Arabidopsis thaliana: one gene and its partners. The protein of the gene in region 3 interacts with the protein of the main gene of each other region in a pairwise test. Each region holds a gene or a part of one and is shown on either strand. Other genes may lie near its edges.

Region 1 (3,759 bases), on a different chromosome or scaffold from region 3:
AAGCAGAATAGATCTATTCTAGAATGCTAAATCTGCTCCTTACGATGGTTTAACATCAGACTGTTATCATGCATGTACATGATTATGAATCAGATTTTTCAAACAAAATCAACTTTCTATTCAGACAGAAAAAAAAAAGTATGAATCAGAATTTTAAAACAGCCATTTGAAGGATAAAAAACGCTAGAAGGAGGGGTCGAACCTCCGACCTTGTGGTTAACAGCCACACGCTCTAACCAACTGAGCTATTCCAGCTAATTGTACTAACCATACTTGTGCATTAAATTATTAATTACACACGTTTTTCCCTCTTTATTTGAAGGTCCAATTTTATCACTTTGTTCAACCACAAATTAAGTAAAAGAAAAAAATAATCCCAGATACAATATAAAACAATCAAAACATACAAGATTCCACAGATTTATACTCAAGATTTTGAATAATTTGAAGGGCAAAAATTATATATAAAAGCAAAACAGGATTGTAAAAATTTATTTCACTTTTATCAGATCATCAAACTATTCACTAATGTTACTATTGTTTCTCTTCATTGCTTGCTTGTTATTATGCATCCAAACCTTAAAAACTTGTCTCCTCAGATTCACCATCCTACAAAACTTATCAATCTCTTCTTCATCTTTCTTCTGCATCCTCCACCCTAATCTCTCTGCAAATTCCTTCATCTTCTCCTTTTGTTCTTCATTGATCTTTGTCCTCACTCTCTTCTTCTTCCTCATCATCATCATCATCAAACTTTTCCCATCAACGTTTTGGTTACGATGACTCAGAATCTTCTTCATATCCTCGCTTGAAGATGAAGTCCTCCGTCCAATCTCACCCGTTGGATGCATTACACGTGGCTTGTACGAGCTGTTACTGCTGTAAAACGCCGGAGTTATCATCAGCTGATGATCTTGTTTACTGTTCCTGTGTCCGTACACTTCTTTCCGGTGGAAGCTCCGGTGACAGTTACAGGCGGCGCATTTTAAAGCACCGAGTGTACCTTCTTCTCCGCCGGCCATGAACTCGCAGCATCCGTCCACCACGTGTCCTCCGGTTGAGGCCGCGTGGTTCTTCTGACATTCCCGGTACTTAGCTCCTTGGTCGACACGTGTCTTTGGTTTTTGGTTTTCTTTCTTGATCGGGAATAAAGCCATGGATGGATCTGATTCGGGTTTGGCTTCTGGTTCCGGATCCGTATGTGGCTTTACTTCTGTTGAGATCATTGTTGTGGTTGTAATTGCATTGCATTTTCCTCCAAGCTCCATTGTGAATCTGACCCAAAACAACAAAACTTTGTTAAATATTAATACTTATAAATCATTCAATAATGCATGCAAAAATCTCTCCTTTAATAATTAATAGACGACTTTTGGACTCACCTTAGGGATTATAGAGATGCTGCTTATTGTTAGAGGGGAGGAGTAGTGGAAGATGAGATTGATATTGATGATGAAGAAGAAGGAGAAATAGAAATTAAGGATGATGATGACGTATGTGTGTTTGTTTCCTATCACCCATCAAGTTTTATTTCACATGAGAATCCAACAAAAATATTGATTTTAAAAACACAAACCTACTAGAGAGAGAGAGTGTGTGTGTATGTGTGGTGGTGCCTCTTAATTTCGAGACATTGTCATATGTTTGTTATCTTTCACCACCTGCACCTTTGGTCCATCTCCCATTATTGCATTTATCTCTCTTTCTCTCTATTTTCTTTTATGATGATTATTGATGGTGTTACTAATTAATGTATGTCTGCAAAAAAACCTAGCTTAGTCAAACTATTACCTACTAAGTACAGACTTGAGGAGTGGAGAGAGAGAGATAAATGAGAGGAAAGTTATGGGATTATTTTAAATTAGTTAAATGGGTTAGTTTTCAAAACTTTTTTCTAATGTAAGTTAAAATTATGTCTTATGTATTGTTAGTTATAAATTTTTAGGACTATGATTTTAAGTTCTAACATATCATAAAATAGATTAAAACTTCGAACAACAATGTTTGTCAATCCTTTATGCTGTCATAATAATAGTAGGAGTATCTTTATTTATCGATCTCCACAAATTCTTTGATCAGATTTATTGTGATAATCAATGAGAAAATAATACTCTTACTATCATTATGAGAGGTATTTATGGTTTGCATGGAGTTAGAAGTTAACTACTATAGCTTCAATTTCCCATACAAATGGAATTAGGGTTTCTAATAGAGTTGTTTAATGAAATAAGCTTTAACAATCAGAGTTTAATGATAGTCTTGAAAGAGAAGACATGATAAATTATTTTTCTGGTGGGGAGGGTTGAAGAATTAAAAGTGTGAAAGAATGAAAAGCTGGTCCACATAAGCACAACAAAACCTGCACTTTTATTTATCTCCACATGCCTCATGTCTCATTTTTCAGATTCTTTGTTTCCCACAGCTGTGTAGCACTTTTATGATCATCTTCATTTCTTACCAAATATTGAAATCAATCAACGGGAATAGATTAGCCATATACTAAACTTTTATTAAGAGGTTTGAATGTTACGCGTGACATCTTAGACTTTTAAATTCGTCTCTCTGAATAAGAGTAATTTCTTCCTATAACTATTTTAAGTTAAAAGAAAGCAAGGGTTGATTTCACATCTGTCTTGGCAAAATCAGATCCAAGCTATCTACCACTTGATCAATTGGGCCGGATGAGACATTGGGCCAAGCCCAGTACAAGACAGAAACAAAAGACTTGGTAAATAAGCCATGCTTCTCAATATCCAAGTCAAATGAAACCCCATACATGATACATGTTTACAACAGTCACAGAAATATAATCCGTGGAATACAGTTAAAATACAAGAAGGATTTTTCTTACGTGCTCCATAATTTACAGACACAAAATAACTCAGATTACCAGCAAGTGAAACTTGGAAAGGAAGTGATGGGCATGGAAAAGCTTCTTCGTCACAGGATCATATTAACTGCCCGATTACTGAAATGATTGATTGCAACAAATCACACTTCAACGATAACTACCAGATATAGAAGCTTCAGTGATAAAGTATCGTCATGTTACTTACTAGGATTGATACTATTGCTAGATAAACAAGATACATCAAGAAAAGATAAATACTTTATGATTCTTGTTTTAAGATTTGGGAGATTTCTACTTCTAGAAAGCATTCCAAACAAAAACCAATCCAGAGAACTTAATGTCAAACAAATGTTATACTCCTATCCTTTCTAATCATGTAACTGTTCAAATTTCCAAGTCAAGCATGAAATATTCTATAAAGAATCAAGTTTGTCTATGTAACATAACAATTCTAGTTACTATCAACCTAAAAAGAGAGGTATTGTTAAACTATTACCAGGCAGGTGCTATTTGGTCTTACGAGACTCGATTAGTCTCCACATGTACCATGAACCAACAGACCTATAAGGACGCCATTTCTCACAAAGCTGCTCCATTTGCAATGGACCTGGAAGATTTTTCAAACCATAAAGATCTTTCACACCTTTCCTCACACCAAGATCTCCCACAGGCAACACATCAGGTCTATGCAACGAGAAGATCATAAACATATGAACAGTCCACACTCCAATTCCTTTAACCAAAGTTAACCTATCAATCAACTCTTCATCACTCATTTTCAGAATCAATTCATCAGAAAGCACACCGTTGTTGTATTTATCAGCTAGATCGTGGAGGTAACTAGCTTTTCTCCCGGAGACACCGATCTTACGAAGATCAACGGCGGAGAGTGAGATCACAGATTCAGG
Region 2 (3,759 bases), about 19 Mb from region 3:
TTGCATTATTATTATTTTGTTTTCTTGTATTAAAATGTTAATTATAGTGTTTTGTATTTGGCTATCTAAGTTAGTACAGCAGAATTGTTTGTGTTAAGCTTAAATGTAAAAAAGACAGAAGCATAAACTAGAAGCAACAGAAGCTGATTACAAGTACGATCCGGGTAAAAGACAAACAAAATAAAATAAAAAGACTAAAAAAAAAAGGCAAACCAAAATTAAAAACATTAACTAAGCAAACAAAAGATCCATTGATTGATCCAAAGATCGTACAAACTACAAAAACCTAGAAGAAGGAAAACATTAAATAAACAACAACAACAAAAGTAGATTAAAAGAAAATCTCTTACATAATCTCTCAATTAATCATATGATCACTGATTAGAGAGTAGTTGTTGGTGTTGGTGGTTTCTTAGCATTGTTCTTGTTGTTATGCATCCAAACTTTGAAGACTTGTCTCTTCACTCCGATCTCGCCGCAGAATCTCTTAAGCTCTTCTTCGTCTTGCTTGTTCATCCTCCACCCTAGCTTCTCCGCAAAGTCCATCATCCTCTCCTTCTGATCCGTCGTGAACTTTGTCCTGAATCTTTTCTTAGACGACGACATCGAAAACGCCATTTGTCCCGCCGCCGCACCAGCTCCTTCTCCGCTTGATTGTCCGTACAGATTCAGATCTTCACTAGACGACTCAGCTCCTCCTCCTCCACCGCCGTAAGCAACGCTCATCGGCGTCACCATTCCTCCTCCTCCGGGAGGACTCATTCCATACTTGTGGTGGTGAATCGGCTGATAATTCGGTGGCGGAGGAAGCATGAGTGGGTTAAGCATCATATTCGGCGGCGGAGGTCTTCTCCCTCCTCCTCCACCGTATTGGTTATGGTGGTAGTGGTGATGACGGTGGTGAGAGATCAAATCCGAGCTTCCAACGCCGTCCATTTCTTTCCGGTGGAAATTACGGTGACAATCACAAGCAGCGCATCTGAGAGCTTCGATTGTTCCTTCTTCACCACTCGGCATAAACTCGCCGCATCCGTCGTGAACACTTCCGCCGACGCTCGCCGCATGATTCTTTAGACACTCACGGTATCTTACGGTGGGTTTAGCTGCGGCGGAGATGGAAAACGAAGAGGGAGACTTGGATTGGTGGTGATCTAGGGTTTGAGAGTTGCAAGAGACACGAGTGTTGTTGTTATTACCATTGCAATTATCATCAATATTAGTACTAATGATGTTACTAATAACAACACCACCATTGTTGTTGCCATTGTCTTCTCTTCTTCTCTCTATCATTTCATGGCTTCTCATATCCATTTTTTTTCTTGGAGATTAATAAATTAAAACCCAAAAGGATCTTAATTAAAAGAGATCAACAAAATAAAAAAGACTTTTTCTTCAATGAAGTTTATGCCTGAAAAAGAACATGATAATGAGATTACTAATAAGGCAAAAAAGAAAACTAAATGGCAGTGAGAATCAGAGACTTACAGAGGAGATAAGATGAACAAGTACACGAGGAAAAACCCAGTTTTTGCAGGACCTTAAACTCATTTAAAGCTCAAAGCTTTTTGCTTGTGAAGGGTTTTAATGGAGAGAGAGAGAGAATAGAAGAGATTTGAGGAACTTTTGGGATTAAACTAAAAGGAGGTTTTTAGGGCTAAATTGGTTTTTTTAAGAGTGAAAGAAAGAAGAAACCATGTTTGATGTCTCAGTGCTCCCAACAAGCCAACCTTTGAGATCGGATTATAAGAGACAATTTGGTTGCTTGTGGTGAGGCCATGAGAGAAAGAGATAAGAGCTGAGCCCTTTGTGAGAGATGACACTAATGTCATACCCTACTACTATATACTTATACTTATTAAGTACTTCTTTATTATACTTCTTCCATTAATCTGTATTTATCATTTTAGTATTATATTTTTAAATGCGCTTTTATAACCTTTTTATATATATTTATGAGGGCTTCTATATTTTTAATGAGAAGAGAATTTCTGAATTACTATTTCGATTATTTGTGTGTGTTTACAAGAGATTTATCCTATAATATTGTTACTTTATAGTACTTTAGAGCAGAATGTGATTTGTAGTTTATTTACTGACCCTTTTACTATCAAACTTAATCATAAAGACAGATTAAAATGAAAAAGAAAATATACAGAAAAATAATAATATGGGAAACTATTATTTTGTGGTTTTTGGCTAATTAATTATTATTTTTACTCTATAGTTAACAGGAATAATTGTAATTTTTTTAAGATATGTGGAAATTTGTCACAGTTTTTTGGAAACAGATGTACTTCTGGCTATATTGAGTTCAATCTTCAAGTTAATGCGAGTCCGATAGAGTGTCCTCCTGATTATATATGTCTTTTTTTTCTATATGAGAGTATCCAAAAAGTTTTAGTAGTTCTTAACATTGCATAATTAATATTCGTTGAATCAAATGATTTATTTTTGTATGAATTGATTGGTCTAGTACTACTCTAAACACATAGTGGTTGAATAGTAACTTGAAGCACAAAATTTCGTAATATGTGTAACTCGCATGAAACTGATGCAATAATTGACATTCTATCTCGGGTTTTTATGAGCTCATTTTTACTGTGTACAGTACGTCATTAACGCGTTTACTATAAATAAATTTGCAAAAATATAGTACTACTTGAAAATTGGAGAAAAATTATACAACAAAAAAGCTGGATAATGCACCGAAATGGGCTTAGACTGTTGCTTGTATGTTCAAATAGTTAATCTCTTGTAAGCATACTATATTAAACAATTTTAATAGTCAACCTAATATTAATTTAACTAAAACATTGTAATTTGTGCCAAATGGATCATATGTAGTAACTTGATGGTATCGGATAATCTTATTACGTAATCTTTGTTTCTGTATTTTACTATTTTTCTATATAGATTGTGTTTTTGTCACTATATACCTTGAAACTGTTGGATAATACTCTTATCTGTAGACATAATTTAGCACAAACAAAGTAACTACATGATTTGAATTAGCTAAATTTCCTTAATTAAGATGAAATAATGAGATATATTCATTTTAAAATGAAAGAAAAAAGAGAGAGAGAGGTGTGTGGGTTGCAGAGAAGGGCAGTGCAGAGAACAACCGACAAGGTCAAGTTGGAAGCCCAGCCACATGCCCTGCCACATTATGGGCCCCCTTCTCTCTCTCTCTTCCCTCCTTCTTCATTATTACATCCCTCTCTCTCGCTCCTTAATCTTTTTTTTTCAAACCCTAATTTGTCCAAACACCATTTCTTCTTACTCATGTCTTTTCTTCTTTCCTATTTCACTCTACCCCTTTTTACTTTTCCTTTTAATATACTATATAAAATTACTTGTTATTATTAAAATGTTTTTACAAGTATAATACAACTTGTATAGTCTTCATCAAGATTAATAATACTCAAGAAAGCCATATTTTGTGGACCATGTCGTCCTAGCATGGAGATGTTTTCCTATTGAAAGCTTAATCACAGGCTCTACTGTAATGATATCTCATCAGTACGTTCATCAATATACGACTAATAGTCTAATTAGTTTCACAAATTATCTATGCGTACGTACGTGTGAATAATTAGACATGCAGATTAGTTCATTTCATTAATTAATGCTTGTTCTAATTGGCTCTACATTCATATTAGTTACTTTGAGAAGATGGAAAATACAAGAATATATATCACAACGTCAAATGCAATAATCCATGCGTTTGAATAAATGTTAAAGATGGTCGCAAAACAAAAC
Region 3 (3,759 bases):
TCTTAGAGTTTTCTGGATATTAGTTGTACGATATAAAAGCACATGGTTCAGACTTTTTTTAATGTCTAATCATATGGCCCATATGATTGATTAATTATCATATAATATGATGAATATTTCCCCCATTAATTCTCTTACATCACATTACCCAAAAAAACTACTAGCTTAGTTGGTGCATATAGACTAAATATAGATTCTTGAAACATGAATTGGTTCATCTGACCACTTAAAGAAAACGAAAATTTTAATACAAACAAGAACAGATCGACCACATTCAATTGTATTGTTGCTGGTCAAGCCATGGCCAGAACCCAGACTGGTCATCAATTCCACAGAACATGTTACTGATACTGTTCTCTTCTTTCACCATTCTCTGTTCTGACGATGAATTCTGAAAAAACTGCATCGTTGTAGTTGTCGGTGGATGGCCTAGGGCGAATTGGCTATCGATCTCCGGTGGCCTGATGTCACCAGAAATGTTCTCACTTCTGTCACTACATGATCCTTCTGTTTCTTTGTTCAGATTGATTGATTCTATTGGTTCTCTGCTTTTCAATGCCATTACCTGCATAATTTACACAAACTATTTAAGAAAGAACGTAAAATTGCAAAATGATTCCAAATTATGTTTTGACCTAAAACAAATATATTCCAAATTATGAATTCGAAACTGAAAGAATAACATCAATAAAAAACAAAAAAGAGCATTGTTTTTATAAAATTCAACTAAAAAAGATTCATATTTTATGAAATATATGATTTAAAAAACAGAGTATTTAAGATTAAAAAAGAAACAGAGTACTTTTGTGTTATGAAGTTTCTGCTTTTACCTGAGCTTGAAGCTTTTGATTTTGAGTTTGAAGAACTTCGTTCTCATCTCTGAGACTTTCGAATTGACGCTTAAGCATGTCATAGTCTTTCTCAAGCTGCTTGGTTTTGGATCGAGCTCTTCTGTTTTGGAACCATATAGCAATTTGTCTAGGTTGCAATCCCAAGGCACGAGCTAGCTCTAATTTTCGATCTGATTCAAGTTTATTACCAAGCTCAAAGTCCTTCTCTAGTGCCTTCAATTGTTCCATGTTCAATCTCCTCTTCTTCTCTCCCATCTTAGATCCATCGTCTGAATATTCTTCATCTCCGTTCATATCTAGATTACAAAACCCTTGCACGTTGTTCATTGGAGATCTTTTACCTAGAAACCCTAAAAACAGAGAAGATCTTGAGAAGTAGAAAAAAAAAGGATTAGAAATTTTGAACAAAGGTGTTAATTGAGATGATGTACCATGGAAGTCTTGAAGAAGTTGAGGGTGATCTTCTTCTTCTTGGTGATGGTTTTGGAGACTGAAATTTTCAGGGAAGAAAGCTAAGCCATTATTATTACAAGACATGTCTCTTGTTGGTTGTTTTCTTCTTCTCCTCTCCACCACCTTGTCTTGGTTCAAAGTACAGAAAGAAAACTAAATAAAGAAGAAGAAGGATGGTGGTGAAATGAATTAGAAGACTGAGTATACACCACTTATAGGCTAAATACTAGCTAGATTAGAAAATTTGGTTTTATTTTGTTTATTATATGAGTATATAAAATAGGAGACAAGACTCAAAGCCGATGAGACAGAGAGGTAGACATGGGATGATTATAGTCTTTGGAGGGGTGGAATATGGGCTTTTGTATGTTTTGGAAAATCCCTAATTTTACTACGTTGTATCCGTTTTGGTAGATTACGGATATGTACTATGTAGTTTTTCATATCAAGTATTTTTAAAGATAATTCTTGTTTTTTACGAATAGAAAGACAGATATATCATAGTCATACTAATTATATATGTATATTTTTCTATTATAGAATTTTTGAAACGAAATTCATAATAATCTCCGGACATTGTGAAAGATAGCATATTCTTGCAATTTAAGATGTTTACAGTGGTCAACCATGATTGATATTACAGTGAATTGATTAGATTATGGTCACTCAATTTAATAGTAATTTTTTCAACCACTAGATTATCATAATTAATTTATTGTGAATATATTTAATTCAGATGTGTATAATTAAATATGTACCGTAATGAACAATTTGAGTATTTGTAACAAATACTTCAAATTTTGGGAGTTTATAGATCTAGATACTCTTACCACTTTCTCTTCAAAAAAAGAGTTGAATTTAAATATGATATGTAAAAAAAACTGATATTCTTAATGAAATATTTCAAAGTTGATATCTAATTAAAATTTCTTTTAACAGCATGCCCTACATAAGCATTTGGATGGTTGCATGCATAAGTGTTCAAGTCAATGGAATTTTATTTCTAACGAGAACTAAAACTAGTGATTTTGGTCGTCAAGAAGTATATGCAAGCAAACTCTTAGAGGCCCTACATGGTATCACTTGTCTATGTCTCAATGATATGAAATGAAAGCAAACTCTAAGGTCCTACATGGTAACTCTCACTAGTCTATGATATGATTAGACTTCTTCTTTTTAAAACCTTTTACAACATAACATGACTTTTTCTCTATGGTAGGTAAACATACTTTCGGGGGACACAAAAAGCTCTTCATCACCGCAGATTGTGTTTTGACACAAAGCCCATTTTATATGCGAGGCCGGTTTCTTCCTTCTTCTTCTTCTCTTTCTCAGGTCCCCCACTTATCAACTTTCTTAGACGTTTTGGTCGGTTTTATGATAAAATACTTTAATATAGGCCCAACTACTGTATAAATTGGTCTCCCTATCAAATCATTTTGTAATCAACAAGTCTATATTCTACAAGTTTAAATATTTTTGTTGAAACTATTTTATAAATTACCACGAGTTGTTCTTTTTTGTGTGTTTTAACCTCAATTGTATTTATCTAAAAGCATAAACTATTTATTCTATGAATTTTTTATGTTGCATGAGATATGAAAAGTGCAATTCAACGACATACAAACAAACGCATATAAATAAATATGCTCAATTTTTCATTTAGTATCAAAAGGTGTACACAAAATATATATTTTTTCATTTTTTTGCTTAATAAAAAATCACATTGCAAGCCTATTCCTTCTTAATGTATTATGCAATCTTAAATTGTAGTATACACATATGGCTAAGGCCAATTGTTGAAATGGAAAAACAACTTGTATATTTTCTTGAGTATTAGTTTTTTTGGGGGGACAAACTTGAGTATTGTTTAATGTTGGTATATATGTTTGCGAGAACAAGCCAAATCACACACTACAATAACAGAAAAAGAGGAGCTTTGCGGGACGAGTACGGGGATTGGCGAGGAAGTTTTGCCCTGAATTTAGGGCGGTGCACGGCTCCGTTAGCAGAGCTTTGGGGTGTGTACTACGGGTTGGTTATAGCTTGGGAGAAGGGTATAACGCGGCTGGAGCTTGAGGTAGATTCAAAATTGGTGGCTGGTTTTCTCACGACAGGGATAGAAGACTCTCATCTGTTGTCATTCCTAGTACGTTTGTGCTATGGCTTCTCATCAAAGGACTGGATAGTCCGAGTTTCGCATGTTTATCGGGAAGCTAACCGTTTTGCTGACGAGTTAGCAAACTATGCTTTTAGTTTACTTTTAGGCTTTCTTTCTTTTGACTCAGGTCTTCCGTTTGTCGATTCGATTATGCGTGAGGATGCTGCAGGTGTTGCTGGGGCTAGACATGTGCCCATGTAATTTTTTATTTTTGGTTCTATTGAATAAAGACGGCAGTCCCTCCCGTTGGTTTACCAAAAAAAAAATAACAGAAAATGAAAGGAAGTCTAGCCA

What was found.
Region 1: the proteins of AtHB23 (region 3) and HB28 interact in a two-hybrid assay, tested with the Arabidopsis thaliana proteins (one study listed by BioGRID).
Region 2: the proteins of AtHB23 (region 3) and HB33 interact in a two-hybrid assay, tested with the Arabidopsis thaliana proteins (one study listed by BioGRID).

The regions. Positions count from the first base shown.
Region 1 is NC_003074.8:18,913,929-18,917,687, reverse strand, and holds HB28 (homeobox protein 28), read right to left. Parts: upstream 1,675-3,759; 5' UTR 1,383-1,674; intron 1,276-1,382; 5' UTR 1,269-1,275; coding exon 519-1,268; 3' UTR 302-518; downstream 1-301. Other genes in the region: AT3G50880 (DNA glycosylase superfamily protein), read right to left, coding at 3,358-3,759.
Region 2 is NC_003070.9:28,239,128-28,242,886, reverse strand, and holds HB33 (homeobox protein 33), read right to left. Parts: upstream 1,877-3,759; 5' UTR 1,486-1,876; intron 1,409-1,485; 5' UTR 1,312-1,408; coding exon 382-1,311; 3' UTR 92-381; downstream 1-91. UniProt on the Arabidopsis thaliana protein: Putative transcription factor. Binds DNA at 5'-ATTA-3' consensus promoter regions. Regulates floral architecture and leaf development. Regulators in the abscisic acid (ABA) signal pathway that confers sensitivity to ABA in an ARF2-dependent manner.
Region 3 is NC_003070.9:9,353,755-9,357,513, reverse strand, and holds AtHB23 (homeobox protein 23), read right to left. Parts: upstream 1,688-3,759; 5' UTR 1,389-1,687; coding exon 1,283-1,388; intron 1,202-1,282; coding exon 831-1,201; intron 566-830; coding exon 275-565; 3' UTR 12-274; downstream 1-11. UniProt on the Arabidopsis thaliana protein: Probable transcription factor.